3 linked regions of the Rattus norvegicus genome follow. The protein of the gene in region 1 purifies or fractionates together with the protein of each later gene. This does not show direct contact. Links are inferred from orthologs where the notes say so. Each region holds a gene or a part of one and is shown on either strand. Other genes may lie near its edges. The genes, in order: Chaf1a, Asf1b and Cbx1.

Region 1 (3,646 bases):
ATGTAGCAGAGGAAGCAACTGGGCCAGGACTGTAGGATGAGATGGGCTAGATGAAGCCATGAGAGGGCCCCATCCATCCTCACTGTTGCCAAGGAAGGTTGGCAAGGCACACTTCAAAGAAAGCTACTTGGCATCGGTTGGCTAAGAAGCCACACGCCTACTTCCCAGTGGCCCTGGGCCATGCCCGTGGTCAGCTGTGTGTGCCCTCATGTTCCTCCTAAGCAGTCGCTGCTCACTCTGAGCCACCAGTGTCCCCAGGTTTAGGACAGGGAGGGAGTGGCATTGCACTCTGGTCCAGGTCTCAAAACTGACTATATCATTCTGCTGTGGGTCCTACTAAAATTTCCAAGGGAGCCATGCCTAGGGGCTTATACCTGGAAGTCAAGCTCTTAGGAGCTGGAAGCAAAAAAATCACCATGAGTTCAAGAAAAGTGCAAGCCATCTGGTAACCAAGACCTGTCTTGTGTCACAATGACACTGACTCAAAAAAACCAAAACCAAAACCAAAACCAAACCAACAACAACAAAACCCAAAAAGTCAAGGGTAGGATAGCAAGACTGGGGTATGGCTGAGTGGTAAGCACTTGGCAGGTTCATGTACAACCTGAGTTTGTACCCAGCACCCAAGGCCCTGTCAGTTTTACATGCAGACAAGCTGCATGTGGACGGATACCCACACACAGGCTCTGCATACTTGTGACCTCATCAAGGACACCCTGATAGGAGCTGTTCCCGGACACTCCCGTACCCTACTTACTATGCTGGTCCCTCTTTTCCCTCCTGGAGGCCCTGGGCTCTGGCTCATCAGGGGATGTCACATCCAGCAGGCATGCAGTGAACTGCTGCAGCAGCTTCAAGTCGGAACCTGTGCAGTTGGCTGCCTCTGCCGCCCAAACACATCCCACCTGCACAGGCTGCAGCACGCGAAAGCGCTTGCTCTTGGCTAGGAGCTCATCCCACTCCTTGGCCTTCAGCTTCTGGCGTACTTTGTGGTTCTCTGGATCCGCACACTCCTGGCAGGATATGGAACAGACCCTTGTTTAATGCCCACGCTCCCTGGCACCGTGGCATGAGCTACAGAGGATGTGGCAGTGAAGGACAACTCTGAGAAGTCAGTTCACATCTTTAATCATATGATAAGGCAGGATATTTCAGTGGTTTTGCTTTGTCCAGCCTCACAGCCTCTTGACCTGGTTAATAGGCGACCAAATCCCCAACCCCAGAAACACCCCGATCAATGTGGCTTCCAGCAGGGCCTGAGCTGCCCAACATCATGGTCAGACAGTCTGACCTCAGTCATCCTATGCAGGTTCCCTAAACCTGCAACTAGGAGCTTGGGACCTACGGATACCACTCAAGCTCTCCACAGCCCCTTATGGGAGAGCTCACAGGGGCACAGGACCTTCTGGAACTGTGGTGGTTTGTTAGAACTCTAGGGGAAATCTACAGACCATGCAGCAGAGAAAGCCCATGCCTGCTCACCCAGAGCCTAAATCAAAGCAGCTGATCACCTCAACACCCTATAATCAGTTCAGAATGGAGCCCTCACCTCAGTTACGCCTTCATCTTCAGACAGGTACCCATGGGGCACAAAGAACCCATCGTCCTCATCTTCATCTTCCCCCACATCGTCATCTTCATCCTTGAAGAGAAAGACAAGAGCTTACAGCACACAGATATCAGAGTTGAAGGCCAGTCCAGTCCCACATATAAACACATACATCCATGCAGATGCTAAGGGGGCTACAGAGCCTGCCTAGTGCCCAACATTGGCTCAGGATGTCCCCTAGCTTAGCCTCCGCGTCACAGTAAATCTGTGTGCATCTACACTGGTGTCAGCAGCTGGGGAGCAAGGCAGAAACAGTACATGTGGGCAGAGGAAGCAGGGACTAGTAGGACTCAGTGTGGCTCCAACAGCCATGTTGCCTGGGGGCGCCGGGATGGCAAGCAGTCACTAGGCTAAGCAGGAGCAAAACAACCGGGTCAACAGCCCACCCCATATAAGAGTGTACGATGGCTTCTCCTGCAGTTGCTGTAGTTGCTGCTATTCATACTCAATGGGTTTACTTACCCCCTCACTGTGGGACAAAGACTCCCCAGGCTCCTCCTCTTCCCACTCATCGTCACTGTCTACCTCATAGTCTAAAAGCTTCTGGAGAGAGAATAAGGCATGAGCATCATGGTGAAACAGCACAGAACAGCCCACCCCCATGAGGAACCCCAATCCCAAGGCTCACTTTGTCCTGGACCCAGGGGTTACGGGGGCGGATGACTGCTGTCTTCTTATTCCATGTCCCCCAGTATGCTGGCCGGTGGTTCTCTGAGAACTGCAGGAGCTTCATTCGGCCAAACTTCTTCCTTTCAGGCACACCATCCACCTTGCTGCTCTCCACGATGACCACATCCCTGGTAATCAGACCATACTGTGTTCATGGCTGGCTGCACATGACCTGTCTGTTCAGAACTACTCAGGCCTGTTCCTCCTGCTGCACCCTGGGTGTGCAGGAAGGTGTGCCCCAGAGCCCCAGAACGTGTAAAGAGAGACACTCTGGGAGATGGTGACTCTAGGACTCAGCAGCATAGGGCAGCATGGGGCTCCATGCCAGACTCTTCTATGGTCTGGTGTGCCAGCTCTCACCTGTTCATGATGTCTGTGTCATGGCCACAGACCTGGGTGGGCCCAGATCTCAGGGGCAGTCGGCCCTTTAGGTCACTGAGGAAGGAGCTTGCCACGTTCTGCTGGTGTAGGAGCCGGTCCAGCTGATCGCACAGATCTTGATCCAAGGTAGCCCGGCACCGTGGAGCCAACACCATGTGTTCTTTGATTTCAAAGGGGGCAAACTTACCACAGGAGCCAGCCAGGGTCTGCAATAGGAAGAACTTAATGCACTGCCAGTAGGTGAGAAGCCATGCTAGCTCAGGTGCACTGCTGCCTGGTGGCCAAAGGGAGCTGCGTGGAAGCTGGAAGACTCCAGAGTCTTCCTTCTTCGGAGTGATAGGAATGCATTCCAAACAAAGCCACTTGAGAACCACCTCCACCTTGATAGCTTTAACCTTATTTATGGAGACCCAGCCTTATGTATAGCCTGGGTCAGCCTCAAACTCAGAAAATCTAAGCCTGCTGAGATGACAGGCATGGGCTGACACAGTTGTCTTCCAGATTTTTATTTTTTCCTTTTTTACAGTTTATTTACTTAGGGACTGGAAAGATGGCTCAGTAGTTAAGAAGCAATGCTGCTCTTCCAGAGGACACAGGCAAAACAGTCATACCAATAAAATCAAAAATCTTATAGAAAAGAGGAATACCTCCATTCATTTTGTTATGTGTATGTGTTGTGCCTCTTGGTCCCCACATTTTCAGAAATGTTTGTCAAACTCACTGAGCTCTGGAGTGAATTGAATGGTTAGTGAATTGACTGGGATGGGTGAAACAAGGGACAAGGAACAGCTCAGGCCCCAGGGACAGCATGTGGCAGAGTTCAGAGCCAGTTCCTTTGTTCTGGGTGAAAACACAATAAAGAGTGCCCAACAGGGATTGTGTCCAACCATATGCCCTGTCGGCTGGGCCACTCATCCCACCATTGGCCGTGTATTCTCCAGTTGTTCTCTCTGACAGCTATGTCAGTGTGCACTAGGGCTGCACTTT
Region 2 (4,198 bases), on another chromosome or scaffold:
TTCTTGGCCGTTTTGCATTGGCCAAGTGTGAAAACTAATTTATTTACTTCCAAACTCACTGTGTAGACCAGGCTGACCCACGAAAGTCTGCCTATCTCTTGAGTCCTGAGATTAATGGCATGCATCTACCTCTTCTTTTTGTTTTTAATCTTTAAAAAATGTGATGGGGGGGCAGCTGGAGAGATGGCTCAGTGGTTAAGAGCACCCGACTGCTCTTCCAGAGGTCATGAGTTCAATTCCCAGCAACCACATGGTGGCTCACAACCATCTGTAAAGAGATCCGATTCCCTCTTCTGGTGTATCTGAAGACAGCTACAGTGTACTCATATATAATAAATGAAAAAGAAAAAGAAAAAAAAAAAAAAAAAAAAAAAGAGCACTGACTGCTCTTCCAGAGGTCCTGAATTCAATTCCCAGCAACCACATGGTGGCTCACAACCATCTGTAAGGGGGATCTGATGCCCTCTTCTGGTGTGTCTGAAGACACCTGCAGTGTACTTATAAAATAACTAGTAAATAAATGTGATTGGAGACAGGGTGTCTCTGTGTAGCCCTGGCTGTCCTAGAAGGGGCCTCAAAGGCCTACCTGCCTCTGCTTTCTGTGTGCTGGGATAAAAGGCCTGTGCCACCAAGCCCAGACACACACACACACACACACACCACCACCACCACCACCATCATCATCATCATCATCATCATCGTCATCGCTGCGCCATTTTGTCTCGGGGTGATCCAAAGGTTCTCAACGGTCTTTTACAAAGGCAGGAACCCCTCAGGGTAGTCCCCGAAAACGCTCACCTGCTGACAGCCGCCTAAAGGCCTAAGTCACTTTTTCCTCCTTAATGCTTTTCACTGTGAGGGCGTGCGATTTCCACAGCGCTCCAGCCCAGCTTTCCTCATGCCCACCACATTAGCCAATCACATCTCAGAAACCCACTATGCCCCGCCCTCTATCGACAGTCAATCACTGGGAGTGCAAGTACCGTCCCCCTCTGCGCGTTTTAGTGAGAGTCGCGCGCCACCGTTCGGCCGTTGGTGGCGCTGCTCTCTGTGAGGTGCGTCTACCGGAAAAGCGGAACGAGGGGAGGGTCATGCTGGTGCGGTAACCCTTGGGATTGGACAAGAGAAGTTCCGCGCTCTAACTCCGCCCACCCGTACAAGCTATTCGAGTCGGAGACTCTAGGGATTGGTTCCCGATAGACCTTTACGAAGCTAAGAGATTATCGTTCCGCCTCCTGTAGACCGTGAAGAGGGAGCGTCTCTGATTGGTCTGTTGGTCCAGGCGCGCGCCGGAAGACGCCCCAGGATTGGCTGACGGCTCGCGCCGTCATAGATCCTTAGCGGCGATTGGCTGGAGGGCGGAGCCGGCTATTTGAAGGGAGCGCGCTTACGGGAGAAGCTCTTCGGAAAGAAGAGTTGGGAATCAGTGCGAGCTTTCTGTCCTGCCGACCCCCTTCTTCTCTGTAGCAAGTCACGGAAGAAGGCTCCACAGTACCTGCGGCTCCCAGGCGAGGTGATGGCCAAGGTGTCGGTGCTGAATGTGGCTGTGCTGGAGAACCCGAGCCCTTTCCACAGCCCCTTCCGGTTTGAGATCAGCTTCGAATGCAGTGAGGCCCTGTCTGACGGTGAGACTGGGCCTGTGCAGGGGACCCCGAACCCTCCTGCCCTCGTTTGTGCCACTCCCAGTCTCCCTGGGAACCTCTCCCCTGGGCCAACTGAATCTCCCATTAGTAATACGCCTCCATGGCCCAACTCGGACCCCTCGGTGGATACGACTCTATACAGTCCGCATTGTCTCGTGGAGGCCTCGTCACCCCTCGTCTTGCACCGCTTGTCCTTGCACGTTTTCCTTGTAGAGGTGTCAGCCTCCATTGGGTTCATGGAGACCCATCAGCCAAGCCTTCCCTATGGCTAGACCCCGGTTTTATGCCTTCCCCATAGGAAACCTATCTATCCTATGGGAACCCAACCTCCAGTACCGTCCCCTCATTTTCCTTGTGCATACCTTTTCCTGCAAACTAACCAGACCCTCCTCTTTTGTTACCCTGTCTGCCCATGACAAGACCTCCTCCATCCCATGACTCCCAGCAACACCCCAGACAACTCCAGATTTGTCCCCAGTAACTCCTGTTTGCCAACTGTAACGGCATGGTGTTGTCTATACCAGGGCTTCTTTCTTTAGGTTAGTCCCAAATCCTATGTATGAGCGTCCCCAGAGGAGAGATAGGGGCTTCTGACTCCAGTCTTTGTAGGTTTGGTCTCCCCAGCTCCTGGTCTGGGTGAATGTACTCAGGTGAGGGTGCCACAGCCAGGCAGCCCTCTTCCAGTTTCTGATATTTCTACTGGCTTCCAGCTAACTCAGTGCAAGGAATCCCTCATCCCTTCTGATGGGCTGATCTCATCTGGGGAGTGGGTGGACTGGCCAAACAGGGATGGGATGGAACTTTCATCAGCTGGGAGGACACTGGCTTTTGTGGATCTTTCACAGAATGACTTAATTCATCTGTGGGACATAAAGGTGGACATGGCTCTCATCTCATAGATAAGAGGACAAGAGCCATCAAGAGCAAAAGACCTTTCAAATAAATCTGTGAACATGTAAAATGTGAGGTCACTTTGAGGTAAGTCCAGCTTTCAGGTAAGCCAGTAGAAATCTCAGAAACTGGAAGAGGGCTGCCTGGCTGTGGCACCCTCACCTGAGTACATTCACCCAGACCAGGAGCTGGGGAGACCAAACCTACAAAGACTGGAGTCAGAAGCCCCTATCTCTCCTCTGGGGACGCTCATACATAGGACAACAGGAGACCATTTTGAGTGCTGAAAAGGATGTAGCAGCTGAGGAGGTAGAGCTCTGAGAGGCTAGGTTGTGGCAACCAGTGCCCCTTGGTGGCTGTTGAGTGGTATTCAGGCAGGGCCAGCCACTCCTGTTCACTTGGATGTGTGTGCTTGGAGTGGGCCAGCGGCTTGGCCTCTCCCTAGTTTCTTACCCTTTTTTAAGTTTAAACGAATCTACTTATGACTCACTATAGAATAAGCTGGGTTAAACCCTTGCTGGAACAAGGCAGGGTGTAAATAAATAAATAAAAGGTAGAGTAACGATGTGGAATAAGAGTTATTTGGAAGCCAAGAGGAGATATAAGGAGCTGATAGATTAAAGGATTCACAGTTCCCAGATGCTGAGAGATCAGGTTTCAATCAGCCTGTCTGTGCTCCTTGCATTTAAAAATGGTTGCATGGTCATTGCCTAGTGATACTTTTATTCTTTATTTATAGAATCAGAACAAGGCTAGAGTTAGCCTGCTGGTCATGTTTTAATGGGAGCAGGGTGATTTTTTCCAAGTCAGCCAGATAGTAGAAGCATTATCATTGAAGTTTGTCTCAGAGTTCTGAGTCCAGATTGTTTTTAAATTTTATCTTTTAGTTTTAATTTGTCTGTGGGTGTGGGCCAGAGAAACTTCAAGTGGTCTTTCTCAATTGCTTTCCACCTTATTTTATTTATTTTTGTGTGTGTATGTTTTGCCTACATGTATTTATGCCACCACTTGAGTGCCTGATACCCACATAGTTCAAAAGAAGGAGTTGGGTGTCCTAGAACTGGAGTTACAGGCTTGTGAGTTTCCATGTAGGTGTTAGGAATCTTACCTGGCCTCTAGGAGAGCAGCCAATGCTCTTAACCCATGGGCTGTCTCTATCTTGTCCTGCCTATTTTAGAAAGTGTCTCTATAAAATCTGGAGCTCCAATATTGCTAGTTGACCTGTCTAGTAAGCCAGGGATCCACCATTTTATCCTCCTAAGTAATGATGTTTTCTCCTTTTGTTTTTTGAAACAAGGTTTCTATATAGTTCTGCTGGCCTAGAGCTTACTCTGTAGACAAGGCTGGCCTTGAAGTCAAAGATCTGTTTGTCTCTGCCTTCCCAGTGCTGGGATTAAAAAGGTGTGCACCACCACATGTGCGTTCCTTCTCTTTTAATTTTTGTGTCTATGTTGGAGGTGGCATATGCATGGGAGCCTCTGGAAGGCAGAGACATCTGATCCTCTTTAGCTGGTTTGAGACTCCTGACATGGGTGTTGGGAATCAAACCTGGGTCTTTAAGATCAATACTAGATTCTAACCCTGAACTTCTCTCCAGCACCCTGAATTTAGGTTTTCATGGGAAACACTATCTGCCCAGACCTCTAGCCAGCTCCCAGATTCCT
Region 3 (3,646 bases), on another chromosome or scaffold:
TGTTTCAGTCCTGACCTCCACATCTCATAGTCTACTGAAGAAGGACCTACACGCAGACTATTATATGACTGAATTTCTTGTTTTGTTTATTGGGGTGGGGAGGTGCCATGTAAGTCCTGGGATGGAACTCAGGTCTTCAGCCTTGGCCAATAGCTCCTTCTCCCATTTAAATGTCTTACTGGCCTAAGACAGTGGTTTCTGAGGACCTCTTTATAAAGGACAGTCTACTTTTGCAAAGTAGTCTTTTCTTGAAGAACGAACGCAAGTTTCTAAGCCTTTGGTCTCTACCTTCCCCTACTAGGAATGGTCTTCATCTTGAATGAAAGTCTAGTTATTGGTTATTAACTCTTCCAAGACTAGCTCTTTTCCCGGTATAAAAATACTGATCGGAATGGAAAGTCTAACTTGCTGTGCTTGCTGGTTTCAGTGAGGACAACACTTGGGAGCCAGAAGAGAATCTGGATTGCCCTGACCTTATTGCTGAGTTTCTACAGTCCCAGAAGACAGCTCATGAGACGGATAAATCAGACGGAGGCAAGCGCAAAGCTGATTCTGATTCTGAAGATAAAGGAGAGGAAAGCAAACCAAAGAAGAAGAAAGAAGAGGTAAGGCTAGAACCAGGGCTCGTCACCAGCCAGAGGCCGGGAATCCTAGTTTGGTTCTACCTCCTCTCCTGTCCTCACCTTCACTTCCTTTTCCTTTTTAATTTTATTTTCATTCATTCATTCACTTATTTATGAAAAGGTCTTGCATAGCCGCCTAGGCTGGCCTATAATTCAGTGTATATCCCAGGCCTGCCTTAAACTAGTGGCAATCCTCCTTTCTTAGCCTTCTAAGTTTTGAGACAACAGGTCTGACTGTTGAGATCACTGGTGTGAGCTACCATGCAGGACTTTGTTCCTTTGAATCTCAGAAGTCATGTCCTCTCTGTCTCTTCAGAAATAAGCTAATGTTTTAAAGGGATTTGAGGGTTAACCCTGTATATACCTGTAATCGTGGCATTCAGGAAGAAGAGGGAGACAAGATCGGGGAAGAGGCCTGGGTTGTAGAGACCTTATGTCAACAAAACATAACAAAGTGAAAAAGGATTTGAGACTTCCTCTTAGGAGGTGATCTTACTTTTTATCCATGGTGCAGAAATAATAACATGTAACAGTTATTGGAGACTTAGAGTGTAACTGGATACATTTCCTGTCAATAGATAGTTTTTTTGGTGTTTTGATCATAAAATATTTAAGGTAGTCTATCCTGGTCTACAGTGTGAGTTCCAGGACAGCCAGGACTACACACAGAAAAACTGTTTTGTCTCAGTGTCTTAAGTAACTTACCTTTGTGAAGCTTGGGGTGTATATCTTGTTCATGCTGGGAGGACCTCATGTGCTTCAGACTTCTGACACATGGTGTGGGTAACAGAGGAGTCCCTGAGTAAATGTTGGCTTACATTTCTTAAAGATAAATAACTCCATTCAGGATATAGTTCTATGTCAATAAAGGCTCTACCCATCTGGTTTTTACAGTCAGAAAAGCCACGAGGCTTTGCCCGGGGTCTGGAGCCAGAGCGGATTATTGGAGCTACTGACTCCAGTGGAGAGCTCATGTTCCTGATGAAATGGTGAGTCTCCCAGTGGCTCTGTGTGGTTGTTTTTTTCCTTCTCCCTATCTGTTCTATGCCAGAGGAAAAGAGCTGGACCTTCGAAATTCCAGTCGCCCAGGTGTGAAATCTTTAAGATGACATAGTCCTTCGATAGTGACACTCGGCCTGACTACCAACCTGGACTCATGAGTTACAGGTAGGGGCCCTTAGGATTTTCAGATTTTCACCTTTTTTTTTTTTTTTTGTTTTGGTTTTTTTTTTTTTTTTTTGGTTAGGTGGGAGAGGCTATGGAGAGGAATCACATTTCAGTTCTGTTACGTAAAGAAAAAATTTCTGAAATGTGGTTGAATCACCCTCCTCCTTCTCCACCTCCTTAGTAAAGATCAGGCTGGCCCCATAAACAATATTCTGTTCATGTTTGAGGGTTAGAAAAGAATTTATAGAATTTATTTTGAAGATTCCAAATTTACAGACGGAGCCAGCAGGGGTCAGCAAGGCCTCGTGACTGTTTACTGTTCCTGAGCATAATGTGAGGCTGTTTCTTTCTACTGTGTAGACACTCACCCCGTCTGTTAGTGCTGTTGAGTGTCGTCTGCTGAGCATGCTTGTGCTTGCTGTGCTCTAACCTGCTGGCGGATGGTGGGAGGTTTCTAAGACTAGCGTTCAGCGCAGTCCACTAGGGGATGGGGAACTTTGATCTGCCTTACATTTGCTGTCCATTGCTGACCAGAGCATAGTTACGGAGCACTCAGCGACAGTACTTTCCAACAGTTTGATGAACAGGCGTTCAAGTCAGCACAAGTAATCCTCTTTGTTTTTTGTTTTGAGACAGTTTTACTCTAGCCTAGGCTTGCTTTGAACTCAATCTTCCTGCCCCAAACTCTGTGCTGAGATCACAGGGAACTGTCACCATTCTGGATTAGGAAGAGTAAGTGTTAAGCCATTACCAGTTAAAATAGGATTCTCAAGGCTTTGTCCTTTGATTGGTCTAGAAATTTCACTGAAATTGATATCTGTGGTAGTTTTTTCCTACATGATGCCCGAAAAGGTTTAATTAACTTCAGTACAGGTGAAGGCCTGAAGACACAGGTCACAATTAACTATTACCTATTTTCTTCCTGTGTGTGCCCTCAGTATTTATTGAATCTGACCCTCATTTAGCTTACTTCCTGTAACTTATAGGAGGAAAGAAAAACTGAGTAATAGGATGTATTATGTAGTCTAGCTAGTACACACTTGCCCTGCATATATAACAAGTGTAAGTTAAAGACGTATCTTCTTAGTATGTAGGGCTGCATCCTTGGGCAGGTGCGATTCTAGACACAGAATCCAGCACTTAGATAAAACAGAAATATCACCAGTTGAAGGCAGCCTGGCCTAGAGTGCCATGAAGTCCTAAGTCATAACCCATGTCATTTTAGCAGTAGAGACAACTTGGAATATAGACTAAGACTTTGCCTCAACAAAACAGAAAGACAAAGAGGGAGGGAGGTGGGAAAGAGCATAGGGGATTGCATTCTAATTGTGGCAGACTTACTACCGTATTTAAAGGTTAAGATTTGGTTGTTGGGGACTGGAAAAATGGCTCAACGGTTAAGAACACTACCTACTCTTCCAGAGGTCCTGAGTTAATCCCAGCAACCACATGGTGGCTCACAACCATCTATATTAGGATCTAATGTCCTCTTCTGACATGTAGGTACACATGCAGATAGAGCACTCATATACACAAAATCAAATTTTTAAATTAAAAAAAAGTTAGCTGTTGAGCTGGGGGTGTGACTCAGATGGAAAGGGTTTGATCCCTAGCCCTGTAAAATAACAAAACAAACCCAAACCTTCATGATAAAGATGTGGTTACTGATAGAGGTCTTGCCTAGCATGTACAAGGCTCATGGTTTGAACTTCAGCGCCCACTCCCTCACCCTCAAAAGATTGAGTGTTGATTGTAAAACTTTACCCAAGTTTTTAAAAGTCACACATGGCTAGGTGTGGTAGTTGCACACCTTTGATCCCGATACTTAGAGGCAGAGGCAAATGGTTGTCTGTGAG

What was found.
Region 2: the proteins of Chaf1a (region 1) and Asf1b purify together in Homo sapiens (co-immunoprecipitation; 7 studies listed by BioGRID and IntAct, counting the BioPlex papers as one, with this or other methods). This does not show direct contact. The link is inferred for Rattus norvegicus from reciprocal best matches to the Homo sapiens genes CHAF1A and ASF1B.
Region 3: the proteins of Chaf1a (region 1) and Cbx1 purify together in Homo sapiens (affinity purification with mass spectrometry; 4 studies listed by BioGRID and IntAct, with this or other methods). This does not show direct contact. The link is inferred for Rattus norvegicus from reciprocal best matches to the Homo sapiens genes CHAF1A and CBX1.

What each region holds. Positions count from the first base shown.
Region 1 is NC_086027.1:981,652-985,297, reverse strand, and holds part of Chaf1a (chromatin assembly factor 1 subunit A), read right to left. Parts: intron 2,866-3,646; coding exon 2,639-2,865; intron 2,407-2,638; coding exon 2,238-2,406; intron 2,153-2,237; coding exon 2,072-2,152; intron 1,643-2,071; coding exon 1,550-1,642; intron 1,014-1,549; coding exon 758-1,013; intron 30-757; coding exon 1-29. UniProt on the Homo sapiens protein: Acts as a component of the histone chaperone complex chromatin assembly factor 1 (CAF-1), which assembles histone octamers onto DNA during replication and repair.
Region 2 is NC_086037.1:41,097,507-41,101,704, reverse strand, and holds the start of Asf1b (histone chaperone ASF1B), read left to right. Parts: upstream 1-1,352; 5' UTR 1,353-1,516; coding exon 1,517-1,625; intron 1,626-2,488; exon of another isoform or gene 2,489-2,621; intron 2,622-4,198. UniProt on the Homo sapiens protein: Histone chaperone that facilitates histone deposition and histone exchange and removal during nucleosome assembly and disassembly. Cooperates with chromatin assembly factor 1 (CAF-1) to promote replication-dependent chromatin assembly.
Region 3 is NC_086028.1:82,280,203-82,283,848, forward strand, and holds part of Cbx1 (chromobox protein homolog 1), read left to right. Parts: intron 1-427; coding exon 428-605; intron 606-1,493; coding exon of another isoform or gene 1,494-1,517; coding exon 1,518-1,612; intron 1,613-3,646. UniProt on the Homo sapiens protein: Component of heterochromatin. Recognizes and binds histone H3 tails methylated at 'Lys-9', leading to epigenetic repression. Interaction with lamin B receptor (LBR) can contribute to the association of the heterochromatin with the inner nuclear membrane.